Linked DNA regions of Alligator mississippiensis. The main gene of each other region encodes a partner of the protein of the gene in region 2 in a complex. Links are inferred from orthologs where the notes say so. Each region holds a gene or a part of one and is shown on either strand. Other genes may lie near its edges. The genes, in order: CYFIP1, EIF4E, EIF4G1 and EIF4EBP2.

Region 1 (7,599 bases), on a different chromosome or scaffold from region 2:
AAAACCAACTGGCAGTGGAGATCAAGGAGGTAACGAAGAGAGGAGTTCTGTATTATGCTCAGTTTAAATGACAACTTCAAGACAACACGGGAAGAAGTCAGAATGGAAAAAAGAGAGCAGCAGAAAGATGGTCATTGAAGACAAGTAAATGAAGTCACTCGGGTATAAAATGTGATGGAGATGAAAGGAATAAGATATAATCTTAGGGGACTCCAAACAAAAATGGAAGGCAGGAGAAATGGAGGTGCCAAGTGACAGAGGGCTCGAGAAATTGGAGGAAGTGTGATCAACAAAGGAGAAAACAAAGGAAAATGGACACTGAGAGAGAGGCTACTGCACAGAGATGCCTGTTGTGCCCCATTTGGTTCCACATTCAATATTTTAAAATTCAGAAAATGAGCAGCGCTTATCCAGATCATACATCCAAGATAAGATTAAAGATAATAGAGAGAGCTCCTTTATTAGATCATAACAAATATATTTCTACACTACAGTGTAAGTCAGCTCTGGATCCCAAAGAGTCATTTTAAGTCTGAGACAAAATAACCAAATAGGTGTTCTAGAAAATAAATTTGAAATTATGTAATTGAAGATCATTGTGGCAGTAATGGCTACAGAGCTAACCCACATTTTATTCACCCCAATCAAGACAGTTTGCTACCTAAGTTTCATTAAGTTAGTTTTATGGTGTGTTTAATATACTAATCTGTTTTTTCAAAATTACTTCCTTTTGTTTTAATTATTGCCACTATTTTGAGCTCCCTGAATGAGTATGTCAGACTTGAGTCTCTGATCAGTTATCTGTATTTTTCCTTCTCTACTTTTTTCCATTTTTTGGAACTTTATACCTGAAAAGGATTCCCTTTCTAGCCCTCTTGCTTCCCTTTGCCAAGCTACAATTTATCTTTTCCAGTGTAGTAAAAAGTAACCACTTCAGTTCAGTTATGAATTGTAATCTGCTGGAAATAGCAAGAGCACGTGGTATTAACTTTTATACATGTTAGAAAAATAAGATGGGATTGGAGATTCTGCTTCATACACTAAGTGAGCAAAGCCCTTAAGCCTATGATTAATTGAAATACATAAGTCTCTTTGACAACACAGCCATTAGTACTTCCCATTTCTCTACTGAGAACAAGTCCTTGGAAACAGAAATAAGTGCATCAATGGAAATGTCTTACTGTATTATTTGTGTATTAGAGTATGGAGAGAGAAAATTAACTTGGGCAAGGAAAGAATGGGAATGTTGAATGAGGAAAGTATTGGTAATTCCCGGGCTAAGCATTTTGAGGGCCAGTATGTAATATTGTATTATTATTTCAGACAGAATAGATATATACATTTGTGTGTGTGTGTGTGTGTGTGTGATTTCTGAAACAATTTAGCTTTATTTCTGCCCCTGGTGTACTACACACTTTCCATGCTGCGAAGAAGGTACAGTTCTTATCCCATGGCCGAACAGTTGAGATCTCTGTTCCTCATCAACATGACCCCTCTCCTCAATTCCATGAAGTGAGAAAGGCACTCCTGTTCTGTGCCTGAAGGTGCTGACCATGTGCTCAATTTTACATGTAGAAAGAGGCCTGTAGAAATAAATGGGATCACTGCAGCACATTGGGCTGACTCCTGAACACTCCACACATTCTGGGCAAGTTGACTCATCTTTTTACAAAATAAGAAGTTTTCTGGAAGAATGAAAATGCAAAGTGAGTGTTATACATGTAAATATAAGCATCAAGTCTGTTAACATAAATGTGAAAAACCCTATGTGGTGGAGTGAGAAACTACTTGCTTCAAAGTGTCAGAAAAATTCACACGGAGGCTTACACTACAGGTAAAGAAGTGGATCTACCAACATTGGCTTGCTCCCTGCACTGTCCTGAGGGTCTGACTTCAGTTTCTGCAGGATGGAGCATTACCTTTGTGCTTAACTTTGTGCACCTGCACAGCCCGATTAAACGGGAAACACTCAATATGTGTACAGCTGAAAAGGTATGCAAGTCTGCAGCACTGGGACCTGCTGCCATGAGTGCTGTGAAGATTTAGGCAAACTTAGTGTCAAGGGGTGGTGGGGAATAGGACACCTGGTACCATTTTTAGGTATACAATTTGATACAAAAACATGCACCACCAGGAGGAATGGCTGTCCCTACCTCCCCAGATTTTATCCCAGAGCTGAAAGCTGCTGATTGTTAAGATGATCTCGTGACTCCTAAATTAAGGGTGCTGAGGGGTGCTGCTTAATATTAGCACTGTTTGCTGTGCAAGCACTTACTCATGAATCACAAACCCAGAGATGTCACATAGAAATCTGGGGCAGGGGCATGTAGGGGGTTGCACTGACACACTTGCATACCCCTTTGATTTCTGCTCCACCCAAAGTTTAAAACCAACTGCCTGGCAGTGGCAGCAGCATTTCTAGTTAGGCAGCGCTGTCAGAGTCACTTGACTTCATGCCTCATTATCCATCTACCTGACCCCTTCCAAATTCTGTATTCCACAGGTGTTAACCTGCCTCTCTTCTTTTCAAGGGTCTGCCTGTTCCACCAAGCACGTTAGCCTTTCTTCAGCAACTCTGCTGTCTGTTAGCTGGTTAGGAAGCTCTTATTTCACAGCCCTGCAGACTGTTTTTAACTCTTTCCAAGGAACTTATCTTTGTTTTTGCTTCCATCTGAAACTGCACAACACAGCTCCAGGCACCCAGCCGATTAGCAAGTCTTCTAGCTTCTTTTAATTGGGGAAAAGGAGGTGTTAGTAGTAGACACCCCTAGAATCATAGAAAATGAGGGTTGGAAGGGACCTCAGAAGGTCAAAGCAGCACCATCCCCAACTAGATCATCCCAGCCAGATCACTCTATCTTCTCCCTGGATGTGTCCCAGCTTGTCAGTTGAGCTTCTAGTTTGTATCTAACTGGAAAAACATGGTTGTTGTGATAGACATAGTTGGGGTGGATCCTACTTTGATTCCTACTCCACTCAAAGTTTTAAACCAGTTAGTTGCCTGTTAGTAGCAGCAGCATTTCTAGGCAGGGAATCAATTGGCTTCATAGCTCATTCATCTAGCTACCCCCTGGACCTGCCCTGGCCGAACAGTGAAGCTTCTAGTTTCTTTTTAACTGGGAGCATTTACAAATTCATGAATGCACCATAATTACAGTGCATTAAGTTTAGTATCTGTGATGACAGATACCAACTTAATGTGCCATATTCAGTGCTAATGCACAGTAGCAGAGATGACTGGTTCTTTAGTGACATTAATGAGCATTAGATTAAATCTACTGTGCAGTGGTACAGGTTGTGTCTGCTGTGCTAATGTGCAGTAGAATGAGTCTCCTGCACATTAAGCATCTTGTGTAGGGGAAAAACAGGACCGGTGGTAAATACCCCCTGGCTGCCCCCTTGACCTGCCCCAGCCTCTGAGTACAGCTGGAGAAACACAGAAACATAGAAAATGAGGGTGGGAAGGGACCTCAAGAGGTCCTCTAGTCCAGTGGTTCTCAACCTTTTTTGTACCAGGACTCATTTGTAAACATTAGTGGCCAGTCCCGACACAGTGGCCCTCACTCCTGACCTGCTGCTCCCCGCCCCCCCGTCCCCAGTGTGTAGGGACGGCTGGCTGGAGCTCTGCCAGCCTGCAAGGGAAAAACCATGGTTTCCCACATTTTTCCCCTAAAAAGAAGAACAATTTTTTAGTTTGTTGATCCCTTTTTAAAGTTTGTTCATGACCCTTTAGTATTTTCTTGCAGCCCACTTTTGGGTCACAACCCACAGGTTGAGAAATGCAGATCTAGTCCGACCTTCTGCTCAAAGCAGGGCTGTCCCCAACTAGATCATCTCAACCAAGGCTTTGTCTACTAAGGTCTTAAAAGCCTCCAAGTCTGGAGAGTCCACCACCTCTTTGGGTCACCTGTTTCAGTGCTTTTCTACCCTCCTCTGGAGGGAGGTTTTTCCTTATCTTGAACCTAGGGTGGCCACCACTGAGGATGTTCTGGTTTTCTGCTACTCTGTCCTCTATTGATATGAAACTGGATGCCTTTATGTCCTCTATTTTTCTTTTGGAGCAATGGAGAGTGCACAGAGAGCGCTAGTGCTCCCCCTGAAACTGGTTGTGCCAGTGCACTTGGTGACTGGAGGCTGGGTCCCCCCCTGCCCCGGTGGCCGCTGGGGGACCCTACCCCCGGTCACACCCCGCTGGTGTCCCCTAGACTCAAGAGGCACAAGCCGCCCATATCCAGAGGTCTTGATGAGAAAAATAGAGGACATAAAGGCGTCCGGTTTTGTATCAATAAAGGACAACCGGACTGTGCCCTATGATGGCCACCCTACTGGGACCTAGCCCTCCCTTGCTGCAAGGTGGGTGTTGCGGCAGGCGTGGCCATGCCCCTCCCCACGTGCAGCCCCTAGACCCCCGGTGGGTCAGCCCGCCCGGCCTGGCCCGTGCTCAGCCGCAGCCGCCGCCCCCTGCGGCACGCTTGGAGACAGCAGGGCCGGCTGGGGGCCGGTTTGAGCGTAGGAAGCTGGAGCCGAGGGGGCCGGGCCCGCGCTGCCGGGGCCACCCCCCAGCTCCTGCCGGGGAAGGGAGGCGGGGCCGGAGCCGCAGGAAGGGTGTTTCCCTGCGCAGCTCCCAGCTCCAGTGACTCAGGCAGGAAACTCCCGGCCCAGCGCAGCGGCGGCGATCCCCAGGGCGGCGGCTGCACCCCGCGCTGCCGCGGACGGGTGAGCACCGGGCAGCGCCTCGCCTGCCCCTCGCTGCTCCCGCGGGCCGGGGGGCGGCCGGGGGCTCCTGCCTCTCCTCCAGCCCCCTTGTGACGTGCTGCCCGCGGGCTTCGGGCCCGGGGCTTCCCCTGCGCGCAAGAAGCCGCGGGGGTTCCGGCTGAGGGGAGGGAGGTGCCGGACCTGGGCAGGCTAAAGCCTGGGCACCTCCTGACTGGCAGGGGCTTGGCCTAGGCGGCCCTCAGCGCCTGCGTTTGGCTGCTTGGAGGCAAGGTCTCCTGCGTTTCTGAGCCCCACATATGGTACAGGGGCAAAGGGAGCGCATGCCCTGCCTGGCAAGGGGCACATAGGGAAGTAAGGCTGGAAGAGACTTCCAGAGGCGAGGGATCTCCAGAGGCATAGGGGATATGTGGGGGTGGAGGCCTGAGAGCGCTGGTGCCCCCCTGACAGCGCTCTGGCTGGTAGGGGGGCATGGAGAGTGCTAGTGCCCCCCCCCTCCCCAAATTGGCTCCGCTAGCATGTTTGGTGACTGGCTGCTGGGTCATTGTATGGCTGGCTGTGCCCTGCTGGCCCCCCCCTACCCCCCCCAGACTCAGGAGGCATCAGTCACCCATATGCAGGGGTCCTCTACTCCAGTGCTTCTTACTCTTTTTTGGACCAGGACCCATTTGCAAACATTGATGGCTTGTCCTGGTCCAGTGCCTCTCACTTCTGACCCACTGCCCACCACCCACAGTGTGTGGGGTGGGGTTAGGTGTGTGTGGAGCACAGGGGCCCCCAAGCAGCCCCTTGCAGGCTGGAACTCTGCCAGACTACAAGGAAAAAGCCAGGGTTGTGACCCACAGTTGGAGAAACACTGATCTAGTCCAGCCTTGTGCTCCAGGCAGGATTGTCCTGATTAAACCATGCCAGCCAAGGGCTGGCCCATCTGCTCTTGGACAGTTTCTAAGGATGAAGATCCCACTGTTTCTCTAAGTTGCCTGTTCCAGGTTGTCAGTGCCTCTCAAATGCGGAGGAGAATTGACACCCGTTCCCCCCCCCCCCCCAACTGTGAGGCTTGGGTTGGACTTGCTGTTGCAAAGGGGAGGCCCGTGGCTGTGGCAAAAGAAAGCACCCTTGGAACAACAGTTTGAAGGAAACTGGTTCCTTTCCAGCTCCACTAGTATTGTCTGTGAGGAGCAGGGCAGGATAGAAAGGAAGATATCAGCTTCCAGTAGACATCCTGGTGACCTGGTGGTGTTTCATCCTACTGCCTTGGCAGGACTTTCTGAAGGCAAATGGATATCTGGCTGTTTAGAAGGCCCTTCCCAACTGCAAACAGAAGGCTTAAATTTACACAGCTGATGTTTTCTAATACAATTCCCCAGCTGTTTTGGTTTGTAAGCTTTGTAGTGGGTTTGAAGAGCAAATCACACACTGCAAGCAGATCAGTATTTGTGACATCCCGCAAGCTGGTTTTGAGTGGTGACTGGATTGGTTGTCCAGAAGGGAAGTTCCTTAACAGGGATGTAAAAAAATACATTGTTAGAAGCTTTGAAATTCCTCTAGAATCATAAGACTTGTAGTTGCTGACTGGAGGGTCTCGTCACCATCACAGGTATTGCACTGCACGTGCTGCAACTTTCTAGAATTGAAATGAGGTCTAGTGAATGTTGATGCCTGCATCATTGTGAGTTTGTGTACTTTTGAAACTGGAAGGTAGAATAATATACCCTGCTGAAGCTTCCTGCTTTCTGGTCAGTATTTTCATATTCACAATCTGTTGTACTTAGATTGAATAGCTGTGATTTATATTGTTTTGTGAACCTGCATGATTAGCCCCAGTTTCATCCCTTTTCAAAAACTGTGTTGGGATCTACATATAATGTTTCGGCTGGCCTCTTCTACATGGCTTTGTTGTTTTTTTGTGTTTTTTTTCAAGTGTTGCTTCATGTCATTTGCTTATGCAGTTCAGCTGTTTTAAATAGACTGTTCCTGTAAGTGACAGAAAGTGGGAACAACTTAAAATCAAATTTTAGAATGGCGGGGAAGGGGAGACAGGCTAACTTTTTTTCCTTTTTTCCTGTCAAATGAGAGAAATCTTATGTTTTGCGTGCTGCAGACTTAAAGATCAAAGACTTGGTATAAAGTGGAGACTTTCTCAGGCTTACTTATTTAAAGAACAAAGGGCTAATGAAATTCCTGTAAAGGAATGGGACTTCATGAATTCCTCTGTTGTCTGAAAATACAAAATACATTGCAATTTTTTAAATTTAGGGTACTAGATATTGAGAAATGTATTGAAATAACTAAGACCATCAAAAAATTGAGCTTCAAACCTTGACTTATAACAAGATTACCATATTTCACGGTGCATATCCTGGATATAACTCTTGGGTTTATTCAGGTTGTAGGACTGGTTTTACTTGTAACTCCAGAGTTTACAGCTGTTTACAGCTGTCAAAAATGTAGTTGATTTTAGTAGTAATTTTTACCTTGACTTATTAAAAAGTGTTTTCTCTAACATACGTTATAGAATCATTACAACCACTGCAGAAATCATTCATAAGTTTTTGTATGTACTATTTGGATCTTATCACTGCTTTTCCAGGTATCTGTACATAAGTATATAAGTATACATATCTGTACGTAAGTAGAAAGTATAGTAGACGAGTTTCTCTCTTCAGGAAGCTCAGTATTTTAAAGATGTCTGGATGCTGTAAACTATGCTTAGAAGTGGAGTGGCGGTATGTGTCTATGTTGTACATACAGCTGAATGGTATGTGTGCCCCCTCCGGTATTGGGTTCCACCAGGGCCAGCCACTGAGCTAACAAGAAGTAAAGTGAGAGCAAAGGAAAAGATGCAACCAGAGAGATTTTTTTTAAAGTTATCTGCATGCTAATTTA
Region 2 (6,891 bases):
GGACTTGATGATCTATTGAGGTCCCTTCTGACCCTAACATCTATGAATCTATGAAAAGAGATGAAGGCAAATTCCAGCCTTGCAGTGGCAGCTAAGATATACGTCTATATCTATATGTAATTTTTCACTATATTTTTCCATGAACAAAAAAGAAAGAGGCTGTAGATATACCTGGAATTTTAGCAGCTATTTTGGCAAAATACCTAGCACCTTGAATGTTATACCTCAACTTAACTGCTGACCTTTTGAATTAACTTATTACAAGAAGAGTCATTTCAGTCATGAAAGTATCATGGGCCTTGATACTATATATACTTGGTATCTAATTTTATACATGCCTATTCAAAACTAGAAAGAGCTAAACAGACCTCAGCAGTTTCAGCCAAGAGTTCAGTTCAGAAAGTGCAATTAGTTCACTATACCAAAGCAACTGGCATGTACATCAAACAAAAAGTTAAAGAATAATGAGCAGAATGAAACCTATTTACGATTTGGGAGATGGAAGGTCCAAGCTGATTTATATAAAATGTTCATGGTATTCACCTAAAATATTTATTGCATTAGGACAAAAGCCTTTTTTGCCCTTACAATTATTTTCTGGAAGCTATTGTTGAACTCTAAAAAAATAACCAAAACGTGTGAACTTTTCTAATAGAATGTAATAGTCCTTTTCTTATCAGACAAAAGTTCATTCTAAGCTGCAAAACTACTACATTTTAAAAATGCAAGATAACAATATTTGGAAAAATGCAAGATAACAATATTTGGAAATACTGTGTAATTCAGTCGGTGCATGTGTGGAGCCAGGCCCTTTGAACCATCTTTCTATAGATACATGATTAGGTGGCTTAATGGACAACAAAAACCCATGTTAAAAATATTTGAGACTCTGTGAAATATGATTTTACATTGTACCTCATAGGTTTTCAAGACTGGAGAACTGCCTTTAAAAGTATTTTCAAGAAAAAGAAACCAACATTGCTTTAGCATCTAGTTCACCTCTCTTCTGGAGGCCTTATCCCCCTACAGGGCAGTGCACTCTTGTCCCACCCACCATCCATATCCTCCTTACAGAAGTTCTCTTTCTCCAACTCCAGAGAAGTGTGGTGACACATGGCAGCTTCATAAAATGCTTCCATTATAACAGAGGAGAAAACATCAGAACTGCAGAAAAAGGAAGGATTCTATGTACCCAGATTCAAATTCTAAAAGTTTCAATAGCAGACATTCCCCCTCTACCTGCTCAAAAGACCCTTCCCACTTTAATCTGAACCACAGCGAAATACATTTCAATTATGTCTATTATGGCAACACTGTCTGGTCTGGACACTTTATAAACACACGCACAGCTGAGATGTCAGGTGGGCCTAGGAAGTTGGGGAAAAAAGCACGTCAGGAATGAAAGAAGGGAGATTAGAGAGGCAGACCCTTTAACTCAGATAGAAAAAGGTAACCGAGAGCGGTGGATAGTTATTTGGTTCTTTAAATTAAATATGCTTGGTCTCAGTTCAGTCTCCAGTGGCTGTCCAGTCATCATTACAAGCAGTGATGTTGACAGTCACTGCAAAGAACTGAACGAACATAACCTTAGAGGGATGGTGACTCCCAAATTAAACACAGAAGACAGTGACTAGGCTACATGGAGAAAGCCACCTGCACTGTCTGTTGCTCCAGTTTTCCCGGTAAGTGAATTACCTTGTTTTTGAGAGCTGGTAGGCAAACACTGTTTGTATGCACTAAATTTTAACTGTCATCTTTTATCTTCCATTTTAACGATATTTTTGTTCTTAGAGGAATCTGTTGCCTGGAAAAAGGGACACAGGCATACACACAGGTGGACCCCCCCCCAATTATTTCACAGGAGTACAACACAAGATCTTTTCAGTGAAGTCTTAAAATGCTTTTCATCTGCAAAGTCGCTGCCCTTTACTTTTTGTTAAATAAGACAACAAACTGATGACAACCCTTTTAAAAGATTGATTTTATTTGACTTGTAAAAAGCAGTCCATGCCTAACGGCAGGCTCCAGTGTGCATACCCAGCCAGTAAAACAGTGACTCCATGCACCTCTCCCAGGCTCCCCTGCCCAGCCCTGTTCGGCCCAATCCCCCAGCTGCAGCAATGGTATAACTAAGATTCCACTGCATGGCGCACAGACAGCAGCAGCGGCTCCTGGCAGGGAGGGCTGAGAGAATATTTAAATTGGGATTTTGAGATAGAAAAAAGAGCTCAAAGGATAAAAAAGGGGATGGGGGGTTAAACCTTTCCAGACCACGGGGCAGCGCTGCCCGACTTCGCTCCCGCAGGACAAGGTCAGCGCGGCCCCTGCGCTCCTGCTAAGAGGCGGGATCCTGCCTGGCGCTCTCCAGCCCGCACCTCCGCCACGTGCGGCCCGGCGCCAGCGCAGACGGAGCGCACACGGCCTCCCCGGCCCAGCGCGCCAATGCGGCGCAGACTAGAGCAGACGAGGGGGGAGGGGGCGGGCGCCCCCGGCCCCTTCCGGCCCCCCCGTGGGCGGAGACCACCCCCACCCCCCCAGGCGCCGGAAGCACCGCGCCGGCCAGGCCGGGGAAGCGCCCGCGTGGGGCCGCCCCGGCTTCCCCGTGGCCGGGCGGGGCGGCAGGAACCGCCGGGGCCTCCGCTCCCCCCTCCCCACCGGCTCACGCGCCCCCCCCCCTCCCCTCCCCTCCCGCCGGCCCAGCGGTGACGGCACAAGTCCCGCGCGCCGCGCCGACCTCACGCGCTCGGAATCCCCCCGCCCCCCCTCCGCCGCCCCCGCTGGCGCCTCCCGTCCCGCTCCCCTCCCCCACGCCCGGCCCGGCCCGGCCCGACCCCGGGACCTCCCCGCGGCGTGGCCGGGCCCGCGGCAGCGAGGGACCGGGCCCGGCCGGGAGGGAATGAAACACTCACCGGTTCCACCGTCGCCATCTTAGATCGCTGCGCTCGCACCAGCGGCGCGGGGCGGGGCCGGGGGGGGGGGGGGGCGGATGGCAAACCAGGTTCAAACGCAATTGGCCGAAGCGGGGGGTCACGTGAAGCGCGCGGCCGTTTGGGGGCCCGCGGCGCCTACGCGCGGAGGAGGGGGAAGGGGCGCGCGGGGCCTTCTGGGACGTGTAGTCGCCGCCGGGGAAGGGGTGGCCCCTTCACCCACTCCCCCTGCCTGGCGCTGGCGGGACCGAGACAGTCACATGGGCCCGGCGCTCCAGGCGGAGCCTGAGGGGACGCGCCCCCTAGCGGCCGGTCGGGGAGCTGCAGGGGCGCGGGCGGAGCCGCCCCCAGCTGCCCGGCGCCCACTGCCCGGGGGGCGGGGCCGTGCGCGCCTGCTCTCACAATGCGGGACTGGCCCCGCGGGCACGGGTTGCCAGGGGCACCGTAGTCATCGTGTTTGTAGGGTAATTTCAACCCTTGCGATCAATAATGGTAAAAGTGCTCAAAATTTACAAATGCAGAACTCTAGCACATTTACAATATTTTTTGAGGAAGCGAATCGATGCAGCATCTGCAAAACCCAAGTCATTCTCAGGGAGTCTTAACTGACTTTTGGGTTTGGGGTTTTTTGGTTTGTTTATTTATTTATTTTGTATTCCAGTCAAATTAGCCAAATAGTTCTGAATCCTCTTGATTGAGCAAACCTCAATCGCATGTGGTGTTACAACCAGCAAGTATCGTCCACACCCCAGACTTTTCAGCCTGGGGCTTCAGAGACTCCCAGATCTGCTGGTGGGCATCCTGCCTGCAGGCCCCAGCCCCACTGGAGGCTGGCCACTGGGAAGCTAGTTATAAGACCCTTATAGGGTGTCCTGTCCGCAGCGCATTGGACAGGGGTGCAGCCTCCACTACAAAATGTCACTTAACTCCACCTTGGGTTGGGCAGCACACCAACACAGTGACTATAGCTGATCTTAGCCCACATACCAGCATTTTCTTATGACTGCTTGTCTCAGAAAATTAAAAAAAAGCTTTAACTTGGATGAGCCAATTCTCACTCACTGGCAACTCAAAGTGAGTATTATAAAGTAAATAAGAAGAAAACTTGTTTGCATATGTATTTGCATATTTTTTCCATGTATGATAGTTTTTCAGCAAATACATTAATTTTGAGCTTCCAGTATAATAATTTCATAGTTAAGATCTGGCAACGCTGGTACGGCCAGCTGGGCTGGGCTGCCCGTGTGAGATGTGGTGCTGTGGTAGCCTGGCTGCTTGGGGAGATCATAGACCTCCCACAGAAGCTGGGCTGGAAGGGGCCTCCTCAGCTCACTCTGCCCAGCCCCCTACCTGAAGCAGGAGTGTCCCAGTCTGAACTGCCCCACACAAGCTGCAGCCTTGACCACTGTTGACCCTGACACAGCACAAAACACTCAGAACCTACCACAGGTAAAGCAGGGCAACCGCACAGCCAATGTCCTGCCTCCATATCAGGTGGTTAATACACATTCATGGGACCCTGGGTAGCAGGGCATGGCCCCATACAGAGGAAGGCAAACCCTGCCCCCTGATCCCCGTGGGTACCAATCTGGCCAGGGGGTGAAATTTGTTCCTGACCCCAAATACACTGATTGCTCTGAGTATGAGCAGCGGAGCAAGAGCCTCTAGACAGGAACCTCCAGCTTTGGTCTCAACAGAAGCAGTGACACACCCCAAAGTCCCCAGCCTTGGCTGTTGCCAACACCCAATGCCTCTAACGGAAGCATAAAAACACCCTGATACATGTAGCAGAAACAGGGGCTGGGGCAACCAGCAAAGTCCAGAAGCATGGGAAATACCCAGAGTAGAGCATAAGCATAGCTACGCCTAGATCATCCCTGACCAGTGGCTGTCCAACCTCTTGAACACTTCCAGTGATAAGAAGTCCAGACTTCCCTAGGCAGTCTGTTCCACTGCCGCACTGTTCTAACAGTGAAGACATTTTTCTTGATATCCAGTTTAAACCTACTCTGCTGCGACGTCAAGCCGTTAGTCCATGTCCTACTCTCTGCAGCTGGTCCAGGAGATGCCAAGGCATTTTTTGGTGATATTTTTGCTTGGATCGACTGTATGGTTGGGAGGGATGATATCAGGCAAGCTTCTGGGCAATGAAGAGGGGCATGTGGTATCCAGAAGCTCATCAAGCATCTCTCCCAACTATGCAATTGATCTAAGGAAAGATGGCACCAAAAAACCCTTGCTCTGCCTGTCTGTAGCAGGGTGTAAAATTCAACCTGAGCCTCAGGTCAGATCCAGACCCTGAGGGGTCCTTCCAGGCCAGATCTGCAGGGCCAGCAGTAGCTGCAGTAGGTCCAGTGGTGACGGCAGACGTCCAAGGGCAGTGATACAGGTTGGGTAGTGGTGGAGCAAGTGAGGGCTGTATCTGCATAGCTCTGACTTGCCTCCTTTATCATTGACAGCCATGTCCATTAGTGCCCAGCATAGGCAACTGGTGCCTCCCGAGTCTGGGGGTGCACCAGATCTCCGACTGGGGGGGTGGCCATTTGCCAAGCCCAGAACCACTAGCAGCGAAACTGGAAGCACGCTTCCACCGGCACTTCCAGTTTTGCAGCTGCTGCTTCCAGGGGGTGCATGGCCAATCTCAGGGGATGCATGTGCACCTGCGTGCACCCCCTACGCATTGCCAATAGTGCTCAGTGACTCCTAATTCTGCAGCAGGCTATGCACCACTATTCCCTCCCCCAGCTTCCAGGAGCCCATTGGACTAACAGTGCACTGCATGAAACATATGGCCAGTTATGTTTGACACCCCTTGTCTACAGCATTTCTAAGCGGCTCACCACTATAGCATCTTAACACCAAGCAATGGGATAAATCTCCATTTGCTGCCTTACAGTTTCTCTCCTCTCCTGGATGAGGGAAGATTTGGCTGCCAGTGCCTTAGAGAGATTTGATTTAAAAAATCTCACAGTCTTCCTGCCATTGTGGCCTGTGACACAGCTGCTCTCTCCCATTCTGAAACTCAAGGCTTACAAGTGTCTGTGTAAAAAGTGGTTGAGATAAATTCACCTCCCTCCATATCTCAAAGATGTCTGCATTTTGTGGACCATCCCTCAAGCAGCCCCATGGAGATTCTGGCATTGCTTCTTGGCAGCTGAACTCCTCCCAAAGGGGCATATTTGGGACAGCAGCAACAGGCAGCAGTTTCGTTTTTCTGAGTTCTACTGCTATGAAGCCAGGAAAAGCCCACAAGGAGTGTGGAAAGCAGTCTCAATCCTGGGTTCCCCCTGTACTGACAAGAAGCAAGCTCCTATGGCTGGGAGCCCCAGGCACCTCAGTTTAGGGGCTCCCAGCTCCGGGTGCACCCCACACACCCCTGGAGCTGGAGGATTGCTGCTGCGGTGATCTCCCCACTCCAGGGGTGCAGGAAACCTCCAAGGTCAGAGGTTCACTGCAGGGTAATCCCCCTGCCTGGGGGTATAGGTAACCCCCAGGATCACCAGGATCCTTTGGCCCCTGGTGGTTTCCCATACCCCCAAACCCTAGGGCCCAGGGTGTGGGAAATTCCCAGAAATCTCCAGACCCTGGGGATTGTGGCTGCTGTGATTCCTAGGGCTCAGAGGTTTTATACTGGGCATGGTGTATCCCTGCAGTTGGGAACCCCACCATCTGATGGGGCTCCCAGCTACAGGGAGGTCCTACTGCACCTGCAAATTAAAGCTCAATAGCAACCAGCTATAAAGTTAGTACACACTTTTGAGTTCTAATTTGATTGCTGGTTGGAGCTTTTTATTGTGTGATAGCTACTTCGCACGCGTAGCTGGTTTCCAGGAAACTACACAATTAACCATTTGAGGGGATCTTACACTTAACCTAAATAAAGGGTGGCTGCTACATTCACCAATTTTGACAAAGTTTAACCAGATTTATCACAAAACTATTCCCTAGAAAAAGTTAAATTTCC
Region 3 (7,516 bases), on a different chromosome or scaffold from region 2:
GTGGCTGCTCTGCAGGTCCTCCCAACATGCTGGGGTTTACAGAGCAGGAGCTTTTAAGTTACACATGCCATACCTGTTGGTTTGTGGCCTGAATGATGGTTTTGCTCTGCTATACCCCATAATCCCCTGCGGTTGCAAAGGCCCGTGTGATTGGGGTTATGAGGGGGCAGCACTGGGGGAGCTGAGCAGATGTTAAGGGGAGTAGTACCCAGGCAGGTGACAAGGATAGGACAAGGTTGGGGGTGTGGGGTGCTCTGGCTTGCTACAGGCTGCCTAAGGTTAGAGAGGTCCCTCAAGGCGAGCTCAGGTGCCCTTCTGAGGGCCTCCAGCTAGGCACCAGCTCCTGGCACCTGCAGAGTCTGTACCCTTGGGCCTGGCTGCTCTCACAGGCCTTGCTGCTGCCCCGCAGGGAAGGGGGAGGCAATCGAGGCTATCCTGGCGGCGCTGGAGGTGGTGTCGGAGCCCTTCCGTAGCTTTGCCAACACCCTGGTGGACATCTGTGCGTATGCTGGTGAGTCCCAGCCCTGCCCAGCAGTGGTGGAGGTTGAGAGGGGGTCGGCTCCAGGACCCTGCCCCTCCTCATAAGGCCAATCCCATGGGCCTCTCTTACCTACAGGCTCAGGCAATGTGCTGAAGGTGCAGCAGCTGCTCCACATCTGCAGTGAGCACTTTGACTCTAAGGAGAAGGAGGAGGAGAAGGACAAGAAAGACAAGAAGGAGAAGGAGAAGAAAGAAGGCTCAGCTGACATGGGGGCCCACCAGGTGAGGCGGGGCATGCAGGGCTTTTGGCCTTTGTCTGCCCAGGGAAAGGCTTCCAGCAGAATCTGCCTGCTTTGTCCACAGGCAAGGGGGGCATGGCTGGTGTCTATTCTGTTCCCTTGAGCTGGGCAGCCCCAAGGGGCAGCTTAAGCCAGCTGTTGGCATGAAGACCTGGCTTGGCCTGGCCTGGGAGGGCTCTGGAGAGAGCCTTCACCCTGGGATGGGGAGAGGGGCAGAGCTGTTGGCCTACTGGGCCTGGTCAGGCTGGGTGGTTTAGGACCTGGTCCGTGCATGCCTTGGCCAGTGCTCAGCCCGCATGTCCGCCCCCTCTACAGGGTGTGGCTGTGCTGGGCATCGCGCTCATTGCCATGGGGGAAGAGATTGGCGCCGAGATGGCTCTGCGCACCTTCGGCCACCTGGTGAGTGATGGCACTGATGTGGGAAGGGGAGGAGGCTTCACTGCAGAGGGAGGGATGGACCTCACAGGGAGCTCTAGGTGTGGGGCAGGAGAAGACAGGGAGTGCCACCCCTCAGCCTGGCACTGCCTGCTCGTGTTTCCTGGGTGCCCACTGCCTGCTCACATCCCCTCCCAGCACTGCAGAGAACTCTGCTAGTCTTGTGACAGGGACTCCCTGGCATGTGTGAGGGATTCAGGGCCCAGCTTGCCACCAGGCTCTAACGTCTCCATCCCTCCCGACATAGCTGCGGTATGGGGAGCCTACGCTGCGCCGCGCTGTGCCCCTGGCCCTGGCTCTGATCTCCGTCTCCAACCCACGCCTCAACATCCTTGACACCCTCAGCAAGTTCTCACATGATGCTGACCCTGAAGTCTCCTACAACTCCATCTTTGCCATGGGCATGGTGGGCAGTGGTAAGGCCCCTGGCACTGTGCAGGAGGGAACTGGGGGGATGGGGGGGGTGGTTACTGTAGTCTCAGCAGCTGGATGCTGGAGTAGCAGGGCTCTCTTTCAACCTTCCTTTGCCTATCTGTTCCTGATTAGCAGAGCCCCAGTGCCAGCTGGGTCACACTGGGCAGATGCTGCCATCTCATCTCACTGCTGGGGGTGGGTCCTGCCCAGGGTGGAGTGGCAGCTGAGCCTGTCCATGTGTGCATGCAGCTGTACTGCCCTGGGGCCCCTCACTTCTGGATACACAGCCCAGAGTCCTGGTAGACCTCATTCCGGATCACTCGTTGGAGAAGTGGTAGGGATGTGTCTGGCATCTGGTACCCAGGCTGGGGCTTGCAGCCTGTTCCTAGCTTCCTGCTCACCCCTGGTTCCTGTGCAGGCACCAACAATGCCCGGCTGGCAGCGATGCTGAGACAGCTGGCCCAGTACCATGCCAAGGACCCCAACAACCTCTTCATGGTGCGGCTGGCTCAGGTAAGTGCCTGGAGTTGGGTGTCTTGGGGCTCAGAGCCCTGCCCAGGGTGCTGGCCTGGGGCCCCGTCCTAATGCACCTTCCTTTTGCTGAGCAGGGGCTGACTCACCTTGGGAAGGGGACCCTCACCCTGTGTCCATACCACAGTGACCGGCAGCTTATGAGCCAGGTGGCTGTGGCGGGGCTGCTGACTGTGCTTGTATCCTTCCTGGATGTGCGCAACAGTGAGTATGGTGGTCCTTGCCCACAGGGCACTTTTGGGTCTGAGGGAGGGTACCCAGCAGAAGGTTGTGCGTGGCTCAGCCCCTTGCTCTTTACCCTTGATGAGCTGGGTTGTGCTGCTCAGGTGGGTGGGTGGCTTTGGCTGTGTCCTGCAGGCTGTAATGCCCCTGTCTCCCTCCAGTCATCTTGGGCAAGTCACACTATGTCCTGTATGGGCTGGTGGCCGCCATGCAGCCACGAATGCTGGTGACGTTCGATGAGGAATTGCGGCCTCTGCCTGTGTCGGTCAGGGTGGGGCAGGTAAGAAGGCAGTGGGGGAGCTGCTGGGTTCTGAGACTGGAGAGGTGATGGCTTGAGGCTGAGGGCTCCAGGTTGGTGCCATGGGGCTACCTGCAGCCCTAGCAGCACCTGTCTTGGCCTGGGAGACTTGAGCTCGGTTGTGGGTATCTGTGGCTGCCTCCATGTCCTCGATGCTGACCCTCACCCCCTTCTACAGGCTGTGGATGTCGTGGGGCAGGCAGGCAAGCCAAAGACCATCACAGGCTTCCAGACGCACACAACGCCAGTGCTGCTGGCACATGGGGAACGGGCTGAGCTGGCCACAGAGGAGCACATGCCTGTGACGCCCATCCTGGAGGGCTTCGTCATCCTGCGCAAGAACCCCAACTATGATGTCTGAGCCTGGGGCTGGGGTGGGGCAGGGGCTGGAGGGGGGTGGGGAGGGGGAGGGGCAGGGGCATGTGCTCAGCTCCTCGCTGCTGTTTGTTACTGAGGAGCTGGTAGGCAAATAAATCTATGGGAGACATAGGCTGCCAGCTGGTTCCTCCAGGTGGGGTGAGGCAGACCTGGGTGCCTGGGTCCTGGCAGCTGGGGTCGGGTGGCCTGTGCTGGCTGTGGCAGGGGGCTGGCAGGCTCTAGCTGGAACTAGAACCTGGGAGGTAGCTCCGTGCCCAGTGGCTCCCCTGCCTCCTAGCAAGACGCTCGGACTGGAGGCCTGGGGAGACAGCAGCATTTGATGCCAAGTGTGGGGCCTGGCTTGAATTGAATTCCCAGGGCATCTGTCTAGCTCTGGTGCCATCGGGCACCTGTGAGGGAAAGGTGCTGGCTCAGGGCTCCTCCTGGTGCCCCATGCAGGATGTCTCTTTGCACCCTGAATGCCCCTTCCCCCTGCGCAGCAGCTGCCTGCCAGGGGCGGTTTACCCCGATGTGGTGATGACTGACCATTCCTGTCCCAAGCCCCATGTGGCGGCTATTGAGCCTACTCTGCTTTGCCAGGCTCCTCACTTGAGCACAGTAACTAGGCTGAAGGGGACAAGAGGCTGCTGGGCTGATCCTAAACCCTCCTTGCAGGGGGGCTGGGGCTGCTGCCAGGGCTTGGGGGGGGGGGGGGGGGTCGCTGGTACCTGGCTGAAGGTGGGGGCTACAAAGTTGAGCTGAGGGTGAGGCCTAGGGCCAGCCTCGCTCTCTAGTTGCTGCCCCCAGCCCCAGGGCAGTGGGGGCTGCAGCCCTCCCGTGCGCCCTAGGGGTTGCTGCCTTGCTGGCAGATGCTTCCTGCGTGTCCACATCCCTTAGTGCCGCCGGCACCTCATCGGCCCCGGCCGCGCTGATGACTTTAAGCCTTCGCTGCAGGGCTCGTTCCTCGCTCCCAAATGCAGCCAGCTCTGGGGTGGGAAGCGGCCGCTCGTGCCCCTCCCTCTCCCTACCCTTCTTTCTCTATCTCCGTCCACTGCCCTGCAGGGAGCAGGACCCAGCTCCTTGCTGCAGTGGGACCACCGCCGGGTGCTGTTGCGGCTGCCCCCGGCCCTGCGAGGAGCTGCAGGCCCGGTCCGCTGCCCGTCGGGGGCTGGAGGGAGAGGGGCCGACCAGCCCTAGTGCAATGGACGCCAGCCCAGATGCCTCCGGGGCAGAAGACTGAGGGACAGGCCTGCCCTGGGCGCATCCCGCTGGCTCAGGCGGGGGCGGGAGTCGCGCACGTGCCACTCACGTGGGCGCGGGCCGGAAGCGGGGCGCATGACGCGATGACGCCACGTCCCGGAAGGGGCGGGATTTCGGGGCGGGTGTGGGGTTGTCACGTGACGAGGGCCGGTTTCCCCCCAGCGCGGCTTCGGCGGCGCCACCCCGTCCCCCGCCACGTGGCCCGGCCGCGCCGCCCGCCCCGCCCCGCCGCCGCCGCCCGCCGAGCGGTCCGGAAATGGTCGTGCTGCGCTGCGTTGCGGCTGCGTCGGGCCGCGCGGACTGAGCCGGACGGAAGGTACCGGGGCCGCCCCCCTCCCCCACCCCCGCGCCGCACCGGCCCCCCTCTCCTCTACTCCCTGCCGGCCCGGCCGCCCCCACCCCCCCTCGCCACGTGCGGCCCGGCCCGGCCCGCGCCCCCCCTCCCCCCGCGGGGCCCATTGTCCGCGCCCCGCCCCACCCCTCCGCCCCCCCCACGTGCGCGGCCCGGCCCGGCCCGGCCCCACGTGCGCCGCCGCCCGCCCGCCCGCGCCCCATGGCGGCGCCGGCAGTGACACGTGTCCTTGGAGGCCGCGGCCGCCTCGGCCTCGTGCGCGCGGTTCGTCCCCCCCCGCCAAGGGTTAACCCCCCCGGGCGGGTACGAGCCGGCGGCCGGGCCGGGAAGCCCGAGGCCTACAGCCGGGCCCAGCTCCCTCGTGGCGCCGCGGCCTAGTGAGAGCGGAGGCCGGGCCTGTCCCGTGCCCCCTCCCCCGCTTCCCCGGCGCCTCCCCGGCTGTCCCGGGCTGGGGGCTTCCTGGCTGCCCGAGTGGGATGCCTCGGCCCCGGCTCCAAGTCGTGCTCCCTCCTCCCCTGCGCAGACCCGCGGGAGCGGGGGCGCTCGCACCGGGGTCCGTGGCGGGTGGGATTCACCCGCGGGCGGGGGGCTCTGGGCATCCACGGGCCCTTTCGGGGGTGGCGGGGGCAGGCGGCACGTGGCCGCGGTGGGGTGGGTGCGGGGTCGAGCTGCGGCGCTGAGGAAGGGTCGTTCCCCGCGCGGTGCCGGGCCGGGGGCGCTGTGCCCGCCGGCCCCGGGCGTGGGGCGAGGCGGTGGGGCGCAGGGAGCTGGCGCTCTGTGTTTGTTCAGCGGGTGGGCCCGTCTGACGGCGTCCCGTCTTGGCCCAAGGGCAAGGGCCTGGCGGGGGCCGAGAAGGCGGCACTGGCTGCTGGACGCAGCTTGGCAGGCCCCTAGCAGCGCAGGTCGGGGAGGGGCTGGTGCCCAGGGACCCATCTGTGGCTGCCTCGTCTCGCCCGCCGTGGCACGGGCCTGGTGGGGTGTGCCCAGGTGCCGGGCGCTGCGTGGGGACCCCAGTAGACGGGCTCGGGAAGGCGACTGGGGTCCTGCCCCGGGGAGCAGGTGCTCTCCTGGATCGTTTTAGCCCAGGTGCTGCCCTGGCACAGGCTCCCCGTCCTGCCAGCCCAGTGCTTGGTGCAGACCAGTGTGAGCAGGGGCTCCCAGGGGGTGCCCCCTTTTCCACCCCAGGGGCGTTTGCTGCCTTTTCCGCAAGGGGAAATCTATCGTCAGCCCCTCTGCCCTGCTCCAGCTCCCCCAGGGGCCGTGGTGTTCGGGGGCAGCCCCGCGGGGGTCTGTCCGTGCTAGGGGCAGTGTCTAGGCCAGGTGGGGGAGGTCCGGCCTTGCTGCTCGGGAGCAGGGAGCACCAGGCCCGAGGCTGCTCCTCTCCGGCGGGAGTGACTCATGCGTGGAGTTTCGCCGACAGGTCGGGGCAGCGCGGGGAGGCCACATGGCTCGGGCGGGGGTGGGGTTTCGGGCGCTCCCGGCTGCTCCGTCTGCTTGTGTGTGTCTCCGTCTCGGTGCCTCTGCACTGCAGCAGACTGCGATCCGATCCGACACCGCGCTCCTGCCGCCAGGGGGGCGGGGGGCTCTGCCCGGCTGTGCCCATGTTAGGTGCGCGGGGCCCTCCCCGGCGCGGCCCGGCCGGCGGCTTTGCAGCCTCATGGTGTTTCTCTCCTCTTTCTCTCCCATCCTCGCTCTGTCTTTCGAAGCCAGTCGGATGCACGGTCTCTGCAGGCCCGCTCAGCTGGCCCGAGTCTTTCCCGTGGGGGGGTGAGTATGGCCTCGCCCCGCGGCATGGGGGGGGGCTGCGGTGGGTCGGGGATCTGCGTGCCTGGTGGGGGAGGGGACACAGCTGTCTGGGTGCCGGCAGGGGGCTCGGGAGCGGTGTTACAGAGGCAGGATCTCTGCTGGGCTCCAAAGTCCCTTCTTCCAGCAGCAGGCTTGTGCAACCAGCAGCGAATGCACCCCCCACCCCCTGCGTCCGCCTGCCTGGGCGAGGGCTGGGGCCTGGGCACGCACGCTGGGCGCCCCGCCAGCCTGTGGGCATGCACACCAGGCGCCCTGCCAGGGAGCCCTGCCCCAGGCACGTGGGGGAGGGGCTGGGGAGTTGGGGCAGGGGTGAGGTTAATCCCACCTGTGACTTGGCCCCAAGGTTTAGGCTGGGGACAGGGTCATGCCTGTGTGTCTCTGCAGGGGGGCAGCATTGGGCACCTCAGGGGCAGGAGCCAGCTTTTCCCCCCCCGCCTTCCTGCTCCCAGGTGCTGTGATGGGGTGTAAACACCTGGCTGGGTGGCATGCTGTCCTTGGCCAGGGGCTCTTTTCAGTGACCCTGTGGGCTGCTTGGCTGGCTCTCACAGCTTGGGCATCTTCGTGCCGTCCTCTGCCGCGTTCCTCCCGGCTGCAAGGAATTCAGGGGCTCAATCTGAGGCTTGTGGGGTGGGGGGGCAATGTTGGATGCGTGGGCTGGTGTGGTTGTACAGCCCCCCCCACTGTGCCCTTTGCCTGCCCCAGGCAGGTGGCACCAACCCAGCATTTCCCAGAGCCCCTGGCCCGCAGCAGGTGCCAGGCTCTAATGCTGGGGGGGTTTCGGGGCAGGGAGCTTCCCTGCCCACATCCCCTACGCTGTTGTGGGGTAGGAGTTGAGCCTATCCCTCCTGCTGATGTTGCCCACTGGGTCCCCTCCAGGCTCCCTGGGGTGTGTAGGGCTGGGCTGGGGGTGCTTGGCCAGGGCCTGGCTGCCTCCACTGGGAATGCTGAGGCCAGAGCATCGGGTTACAGGCAGCCCCTGTTTGTTTGGGTGCCTGGGCAGCCAGGCCTACTCTGCGTGTGGAGGGGCCCGAAGGCTTTCTGGCCCTGGCCTTAGCAGCAGGG
Region 4 (7,521 bases), on a different chromosome or scaffold from region 2:
GTGGGACTCTTCCTTTAAATTCAGACTCTATGTGCCCACAGGTTTCTAATCTAGCATCATGAATTCAGTCCTATGTTACTTAAACTCAGCATTCATTGGAAGATTTTGGTTTATGGAAATGCCATATTGAACAACTGCTCTATAGACTTAAAGTTTAGTTAGTGTTGAAACTTCCACTCATTAACTTCTCCTATATTAAAAATAAAAAATGGAATTGACTGTTATTCCATTAGAAAAATTAGATAAAAATAACAACATTTCACAATAGAAAGAAAGTATTATTTGGTAAGTAGGACCAACAAATAAAACCCAGGCATCCATTAAAATTTTTGCTTTGGGTACATGTTTTCAGCAGCTTCTTGAAATGTATAATCCCCATGCATCCAACAGCAGCAGCAGCTCTTGCAGCTGCCACTATTACTTCTGCCGCTGTTCATGTTGTTAGCTGCTGGTCTCCTGGGGTTAATTTGTTTTGCTCTGTCTTCAGATCTGTTGCTATTGAGTTATGAGTTTGCCTAGGCCAAGCAGTTACAGTTGTTATCACATTGTAGCTCTGAAAGTCATTTTTTTGCCCTAGAAGACTCTGAAGGCTATCTCATTTGTATAGCAAGACTTTAGCTGTTCTCCAATTTCTAAAGGAACATTTTAGGTTTTGGCATGTATATCAGTTTTATGTGACATAGAGTAAGGCCCACATTCTTGAGAAGTAAACTTTTACTGTAGAAAATATCGTATGTGAAGCTTGTAGGGGACTGATGCTTTCATGTCTGTGGTGCTTGTCAAAATCTCACCCAAGACAGGAGGAATTAAAAGATAGTAACCATCTCCTGGTTCTTCAGTGAGAAATGGGTTGTCCTCACTCCCAAGTGGATTAGTATCCATGTCACAAAAAACTTTCTTACAGTTAGCTTGTAGCCTCAACAAAGCTAAAAACTAAGCATAGAAAATGACTTTCTTATTTGTCTGTATAGAATAAGACTTTGTCTGTACTCAGTCCCAGATCATCCTTTGTACCAGAGTTTTAAGCTACCTTTGTGTTGCCTTAACCCAGGGGCTGCTGGAAACTGAAATAGCCCAGAGCATCATTTAAAAGCACTCTCTGACTTACTGTCAGTTTCATGGGCTGCAATGGCCTTCAGGGAAGCCACCCCAGCAGCTGGCACCCATTGGAACACAGAAGCACTCTGACTGTGCTCCTTTCTCCGGCATGGCTTTTGTGGCCAGTCCTTTACTGCTCAGGGATTCTCTTATGCTGAAGAATCTCTGAGTAGCTGGATCCACTAGGCCTCCAGCTAACTTGCACTGTTGTAAGTAAAGGGCATGGGGGAGTTTAAGAGGGATCCAAGGCCCCTGTTACTTTAAGAGGGAAGAACAGCAAGCTAGAGCTGCATTCTGGTAGGGACAGCTGAATTTAAGCCAGCAACATTAGACTAGGAAGGTCAGCTGTGTAAACTGCAGCAGAGAAAATGAGGCAGTTTATTGAGCTAAATGGAGTCACCTGGGCTAAGGGAGTGGCATGTGACCAAAACTGGGTGGAGCCCAGGGAGATGCATGTTCAACCCTGAGCCAGAGCAGGAGTTAGGTCCTCTCTTAAGAAAAGGAGTTTGTGCTTTCAGGGAACATAGAAAGCTGGGGTGGAGAGGTGTTTGTAATGTGCAGAGACCTGAAGTAGAGCAGATTATGTTAGAGGTTGGTGAGTTTATGGTTGTGTTTTGTGGTTAAAGTTAACCAGAGGTTTGGGTTGCACCTGGAAAGACATGTTGTAAAAGCAGCTTGGTCTGGGGTCAGAGACCTGGAGGGCTGAAGGCTGGTATAGAGGAATACTAGGCTAGCCTGGGTTCAGGGGCCTAGAGGGTTGGCCAAGTTAAGCCAAGGCTAGGAGGGCTAAGGCTAGGTAGTGGTGCTTCAGCCTCTCTTGCCAGGCTTCAGTCAAAGTAGGGCCATGGACACAGGGAAATGAGAGCCTTGTTAGGTACAGGTGCCTGCCAGGCTAAGCTGAGCCTAAATAAGGCTAGAGGGCACAATGAATGAATCTGGAGTAATGTGTCTGGAGGCCATGATTAGAGAGCCTTTAAGGTGCAATTGGGCCCAGTTGAGTCATGACCAGCATCATGGAGACACAGGTGCCAATAGCATAAGCAGTGCTGATCAGTAAACTGTTGGCATGAGGAGGACTGGGGTGTCCTGTTAAACAGAGCTAATATGAGAACAAAATCCCAGCAGCTCACTCAAGGACTCCAGGAGACAGGTAATTTGTATGTTGTATTTTGAGGCTAAAAATGTGGCCGGAATCGGGGTGGAGGGGGGGATGGGATTAGTTCAACCACCAGGGGGCACTGCAGCTGCCTCCAAGCCGTCCTGTTTCAGGGAGGCCAGAATCTGGCTCAAGAACTTTAGAAACGATTGCTAGCAGTTTGGTGCCAGGTCAGCTTTAACACTGAGTTGGACCACATAGGAGAGAGCCCCAACAGTTTCCAGAGTCTCTACTGCTGTGTCAATTAAACTGCAAAACCCAGTGGTAGGAGCCTAGAAGCCTCTGGAACTGTCTGCATTGGATCTACTAACAGCAGATGTAAATGGGTGGGAAATCACTGGTAAAATTTCCTATTGTAGACAATCATCCCCTAAGAAAGAAGAAAGCCCCTGTATCAGGGCTAAAATGGAATAGCAAGGCTATGTGGAAGATGACTGCTCTGCCAATGCTTATGTTGTACCTGTCCTGTAGATGGAGAAGAGGACCTCAACCTCCACATCTGCAAACCTGCCACATAACCCCACAGTATGGCATATGCTCCCAGTCCCAACTCTATTTCTAAAGAGCCCATATTTAGTTGATTTTCTGCTGCTCTGTGGGCCCTCTGCTTTCTTGGGTGTGGAGTCACTGTTTCTGGGTTGAGTTCTCCTTGGAGGTTGCACCCCTCCTGAAGTCAAAATGACTGCTACTTTTCACCAGTACTAAATTCAACATATCTTTTAAATTAAGTATGAATTTTCTCTTATAATATAGTATTTAAAGGTCAATGATGGATGTGTTGAGCTGGTAATCTGAAAGTCAAAACAACTCTTGCAATAAAATGTTACTGGTATTGTGCTTATAACAAATTTTTTGCCACTCATTCTTTACTTATTACAATCAATAATTAGATTGGAAAAGGAACAGATGTCAGCATTCCCTTGTTGCACCTATAAGCTAATACGTGTCTATTCATGATGCCAAAACATGGTTTAACTCAAGAGTCTTATCTTCTTTCCACAGCTACCCGTCTCCTTTCTTGTGTGCTTTGAGCAGCAGCAAAATATTAGAAAATGGTGATTGTGGGCTGATCGTTAGCGGGGTCAGAATAAACACAGGTTAATATAGGCAATTTGTACCACACTTAGTTGTCCCTTTTCAGGATGTTTGCACACCCAGGATCACATCCTCAAATCAAATTATGATTGGTGCATATTTTGACATTGTTTTTCTTTTACCAACTCTGTTCTCTTCCACAATTAAAACTATACATTAAAAAAATATTTCTAGCCTGTTACTATGGGAAAAACAAAGTGAACTGCATCACTGTAAACAACTACAATAGTATTACATGGTTACTGCGGCCCTCTCTCGCCTTAAGATGTTGGACTCTGATACTGGTTAGTGGTCTAAAGCAGGGGGCTCTAACTCCCGAGTGGGTAGAGATCAGGCCAGTGGGGGCTGCCCACACCACGGTCAGCCAAAGCCACCGCGGCTGCAGCACCATGCGCACTGGCCTCCCACGGCTGCATTTCAGTGAGTGGCCAGATAGGGAAAGTGTAAGAGAGATGCTGGAGCAGAGGCTCACTGAGGCAAGGATTTTTTTAGGGTGATGAATATCTTACTGGACAACTGTGTAGTAAAATTAGGCAGCCTGTTGAACGCAATATGCCCTTTGACAAATGAAGAATGTCACAAATTCAAAAACTTGTCTACCTACTGTGCAGTTGGTCTAATAAAAGATCCTTCTCTCTCAGGTAATGCAAGTCGTCTTTCCTGTCCCCTGCAGCAACCTCGTCTGCCTTCTGGATGTTGCAAATTAATACTGGCTCACAACGACCAACCAGTGCTGCCTGTTCAGGGTTTGGTGGGTTTTTTTTTTGCCAGTAACTTGTCCCGAGGCGCTTTAGTGGCCCAACCAGCCTTATGTGTGTGTGCTACTGATGATAAACCTGCCCCAGCTGCCCCCACGCAGCGCTGCAATTAACAGCCCCAGGGCAACAATGCGGGCGATGTGGCGGGGCTTCGGGGCATGGAAGAGCCCGGCCTGGCGGCAGACCCGGGACGGGTGGCGGCCGCATGACACAACCCGAGCGAGCACAACGCGGCCGAGCCACGTGGCGGGCCGACGCGCCCCTCGTTTGCTCCTGTGTGTCGGCGGGGATAAGAGGAGGGGGCTTCCAGGAGGCAGAGGCAGGGGCCCGTGGGGAGGAGCGGGCCGGGCCGGACCACCCAGTGAGTGCCGTGCCGTGCCGTGCCCCGCCCCGCCCCGCCCCGCGCTTCCTGCTGCTAACCGAGGCCGCGGGAGAAGGTGGCGGAGGAGGTGGGGGAGCGCGAGCCAGCGGCCTGGAGCGGAGGCTGCTACCACCCCCTGGTCCCGCAGCGAGGCCGGCACCGCCGCCCGCACCACCTCCTCCACGTCCCCGCGCCGCCCCGCCCCGCCCCGCCCGCCTCCCCCCGGCAGCCGGGACAATAGAGCAGGGCGATGTCTTCCTCCGGCGCCCACCAGCACAGCCAGAGCCGCGCCATCCCCACGCGGACGGTGCCCATCAGCGACTCCGCGCAGCTACCTCACGACTACTGCACCACGCCCGGGGGCACGCTCTTCTCCACCACGCCCGGAGGTAACGCGTGCCGGCCCCGAGCGCGAGCAGGGCAGGGCGCGGCGGGGAAGTGCCGCGGGCTCCCGGCCCGGCCCGGGGCCCCGCGCCTTCCCCCGCAGCTGGGGAGGCCCGGCCGCCGCGGGCACGTTGGGTGTTGCCCTGTTGGAGAGGCCGGGGCCCAGCCCTCCTGCCCCGCTCTGGTGCGGGACGGGCAGGCAGATATTTGTAAACAAGGCCGCGGAGGCTGCGACGAGCCGGGACTGTTGCCCAACAGGCCGGGGGGAGCAGGGGGGTCTCCCAGCAGCTGCAGTAGGGAGAGAAACGCGAACGGGCCGGGAATGCGGGCGGCCCTGGGGCCTGCTCTGGGGTCGGAGGAGGCTGCCCTCGGCCCTTCCCGCCGGAGACGTGCAGAGGAGCGTGGAGGGCTGGGTGCAAGGAAGTACTAACTTTGCAGCCTAACACGGATGTAGATTGTGCAGCCCAGTTGTTTACCGTGCAGCCCAGCGGCCTCCCCTTAGGCGGTTCTTGGCAAACTAGGCCCCTCTAGCTTTATTGTCAGGCACAGGTTTTCTCTCTGCTTTTATTGGCAGAAGGGGTCCATAAGAGCTAAGATGTAGGTGTACCAGAGATCATATTTGTATTTGAAAGCTTGGCCGGTCCCTACCACCAAAGATGAGGCCAAATCACAAAATACAGTAGTTCCTTTCCTGGTAAAATCCATGCCATGTTATGTGACTTTAATAGAGGCTGACGTGTACATGGGATTCCTGAGCTAAATATTAGCTGCGTTTCTTTGGGGGTCCCCAGGATGGCATTTGCATACATGCTTTGGGCAGCAAAGACGTTTTTGCTATTAAATAACTAAGTAGGCATTTTACAGTACTTTTCAATGTCACTTTAAAAATAGCACCCTAGTTTGTGGCCTAGATCCTTGGTAAAGCTACAGGGCAAGAAAGTAGGCAAAGGTTCCTAGAAGATCTTAATCTTCCTTGAGATTAATCAGGACCAAAATAAAAATATTCCAGGTCATAAACCTGCAGCTTTTGTATGTAATTTTCCCCAAGTCTCCTGAGACTTGTGCTTGTTTTCTATGCCACTGAAACTGGATATTGTTCTGTTTTCATTGTTGTCAATGAGGTAGATCAGAATTGTTGAATGACCATAGTTTGGATATGATAAACTGTAGTTGCGTTAATTACAGGCATTCCCCATCATTTTAATCTCATACCAGTGTTCCTCTTGTGCCTAACTGGGTTTTTACTGTAGTGGGTTTTGGTAGGTATCTTTCTGCGAGTGTATAAGTTATTAACAGCTCATCTTACTGTTGCCTCTTCATTTGGTCAGCTATGCTTGCATATTAATAGAGGTCTAAAAGAAGTGCAAGTGTTCCTTCTTTGAGAATGTTATGCAGCTACAGATTGAGTGGTGTGCATGAATTTTACAGGCTGTGTATAATACTGTCTGTTCTCCATCATGTCCCCTTTTTCTCATGTAGGACACTTTTTACTTTTTCTGTAGTATCTATTCTTTTAACTCCAGGGAATGCTATTAAGTGAGATGTTGAGTTTGTTATGGTTTTTATGTGGTGGTAGGTGGCAGCTTATCATTGGTGGTTTGAACAGATTGCTGTAAACTTTTAACAAACAGTAAGGGGCTGTTTGAACCTGTGGAACTTAACATGCAGAGAGGTGATGAGAGTGTTTCCCCTGCCCCCCATTGCCAATCTTTGCAGAATTATCATTTGCAACTTTCTTTTGCTACTCTGACATGCAGCTTTTACCCAACAGAGTACATGAGTCTGGAATTGTTGATTTGGCTTTTTTCAGGCTTGTATCTTGATGGGGTTGAAGTGGAAGCAAAGTTCAGCCTGTGAGGGTCATGCTGGGGAAATGGTAGCAGTTAATATGTGCAACTGAATCCTTCAACAAGGAAAAGGTGTGTTAACTAAAGAAGTTCAGGGGAGAGACGTGTAGAAATGATAGGAACAAGAATGATGAAAATAAAGTCAGGGCTGAGGAGAAATGCATGAAATGTAGGTAGAATGAGGGAGAAACAAAGGGCTGGACCTCAGAAACAACCCTCTTCAAACCTAAAGTGTTTCAGATCTTATAACCTTACAGAATAGAAAAGTATTAAGAGTGACCCCCTCCCGCTCCCCCTGCTCCTCTCTGACAAACCCATGTTATAATGCCTCTGGGCTGTAGTAGCTCTAGCAGTTTAGAGGGTGGTTTACTGACTGGGAGTTGCTGATATGGAGTTGGAAACCTGTAAAAGAAGTAGTAATAGAAATGTAAATATTTCATTAATGCTTTACAGGTTTAGATCCTAGAACATTGGACACAAGTCTAATATGGGGGGGGGGTTGTTTCTTTTTCTTGCCACCTACACTGGAAGGTATTATCATCTTTTTTTCCCCACCACCTCCCACCCATTCCTAATACTTCTTATGGCCATGTTTAAAAGCAGTGGTTGAGTAGAAAGGTTATGAAAAGGAAGCATGTGCCCGTAAAGCAGTGATAGGTACCCATTTGTGACTTTTATTGTTTCAAATTAATGGATAAATGTACCACAGAGGAAATGAAAGACTTACAGAGCTAGCCTGAGCTAATGTACTGCACGCAGACAAAAGCAAGATGCTTCTTTCCAAGTGTTCAGGCCAGGACAGTCCAATCCCACTTTCAAGTA

What was found.
Region 1: EIF4E (region 2) and CYFIP1 share a complex: the UniProt entries of both Homo sapiens proteins name them as parts of the CYFIP1-EIF4E-FMR1 complex. The link is inferred for Alligator mississippiensis from reciprocal best matches to the Homo sapiens genes EIF4E and CYFIP1.
Region 3: the proteins of EIF4E (region 2) and EIF4G1 are in contact, whole or in part, in a crystal structure (PDB 5T46), measured with the Homo sapiens proteins. The link is inferred for Alligator mississippiensis from reciprocal best matches to the Homo sapiens genes EIF4E and EIF4G1. Residues at the interface, in NP_001959.1 of Homo sapiens: Pro31, Tyr34, Lys36, His37, Pro38, Leu39, Gln40, Phe47, Lys49, Arg61, Leu62, Ile63, Ser64, Val69, Glu70, Trp73, Ala74, Leu75, Tyr76, Asn77, His78, Ile79, Gln80, Leu85, Tyr91, Glu132, Leu135, Ile138, Gly139, Glu140; in NP_937884.2 of Homo sapiens: Glu608, Lys609, Lys610, Arg611, Tyr612, Arg614, Phe616, Leu617, Leu618, Phe620, Gln621, Phe622, Ile623, Phe624, Ala625, Ser626, Met627, Gln628, Lys629, Pro630, Leu633, Pro634, Ile636, Asp638, Val639, Val640, Leu641.
Region 4: the proteins of EIF4E (region 2) and EIF4EBP2 are in contact, whole or in part, in a crystal structure (PDB 3AM7), measured with the Homo sapiens proteins. The link is inferred for Alligator mississippiensis from reciprocal best matches to the Homo sapiens genes EIF4E and EIF4EBP2. Residues at the interface, in NP_001959.1 of Homo sapiens: His37, Pro38, Leu39, Gln40, Val69, Trp73, Tyr76, Asn77, Leu131, Glu132, Leu135, Ile138, Gly139, Glu140, Ser141, Asp143, Asp144, Ser146, Asp147, Arg186; in NP_004087.1 of Homo sapiens: Pro47, Thr50, Arg51, Ile52, Ile53, Tyr54, Arg56, Phe58, Leu59, Leu60, Arg62, Arg63, Asn64.

What each region holds. Positions count from the first base shown.
Region 1 is NC_081824.1:338,765,770-338,773,368, forward strand, and holds the start of CYFIP1 (cytoplasmic FMR1-interacting protein 1), read left to right. Parts: upstream 1-4,594; 5' UTR 4,595-4,716; intron 4,717-7,599. UniProt on the Homo sapiens protein: Component of the CYFIP1-EIF4E-FMR1 complex which binds to the mRNA cap and mediates translational repression. In the CYFIP1-EIF4E-FMR1 complex this subunit is an adapter between EIF4E and FMR1.
Region 2 is NC_081825.1:160,612,216-160,619,106, forward strand, and holds the start of EIF4E (eukaryotic translation initiation factor 4E), read right to left. Parts: upstream 3,004-6,891; 5' UTR 2,928-3,003; coding exon 2,910-2,927; intron 1-2,909. UniProt on the Homo sapiens protein: Acts in the cytoplasm to initiate and regulate protein synthesis and is required in the nucleus for export of a subset of mRNAs from the nucleus to the cytoplasm which promotes processes such as RNA capping, processing and splicing.
Region 3 is NC_081830.1:83,637,379-83,644,894, reverse strand, and holds the start of EIF4G1 (eukaryotic translation initiation factor 4 gamma 1), read left to right. Parts: upstream 1-4,506; 5' UTR 4,507-4,612; intron 4,613-6,354; 5' UTR 6,355-6,415; intron 6,416-7,516. Other genes in the region: PSMD2 (26S proteasome non-ATPase regulatory subunit 2), read left to right, coding at 410-511, 617-762, 1,095-1,178, 1,462-1,630, 2,047-2,141, 2,237-2,363, 2,543-2,661, 2,858-3,040.
Region 4 is NC_081829.1:58,774,671-58,782,191, reverse strand, and holds the start of EIF4EBP2 (eukaryotic translation initiation factor 4E-binding protein 2), read left to right. Parts: upstream 1-4,506; 5' UTR 4,507-4,718; coding exon 4,719-4,857; intron 4,858-7,521.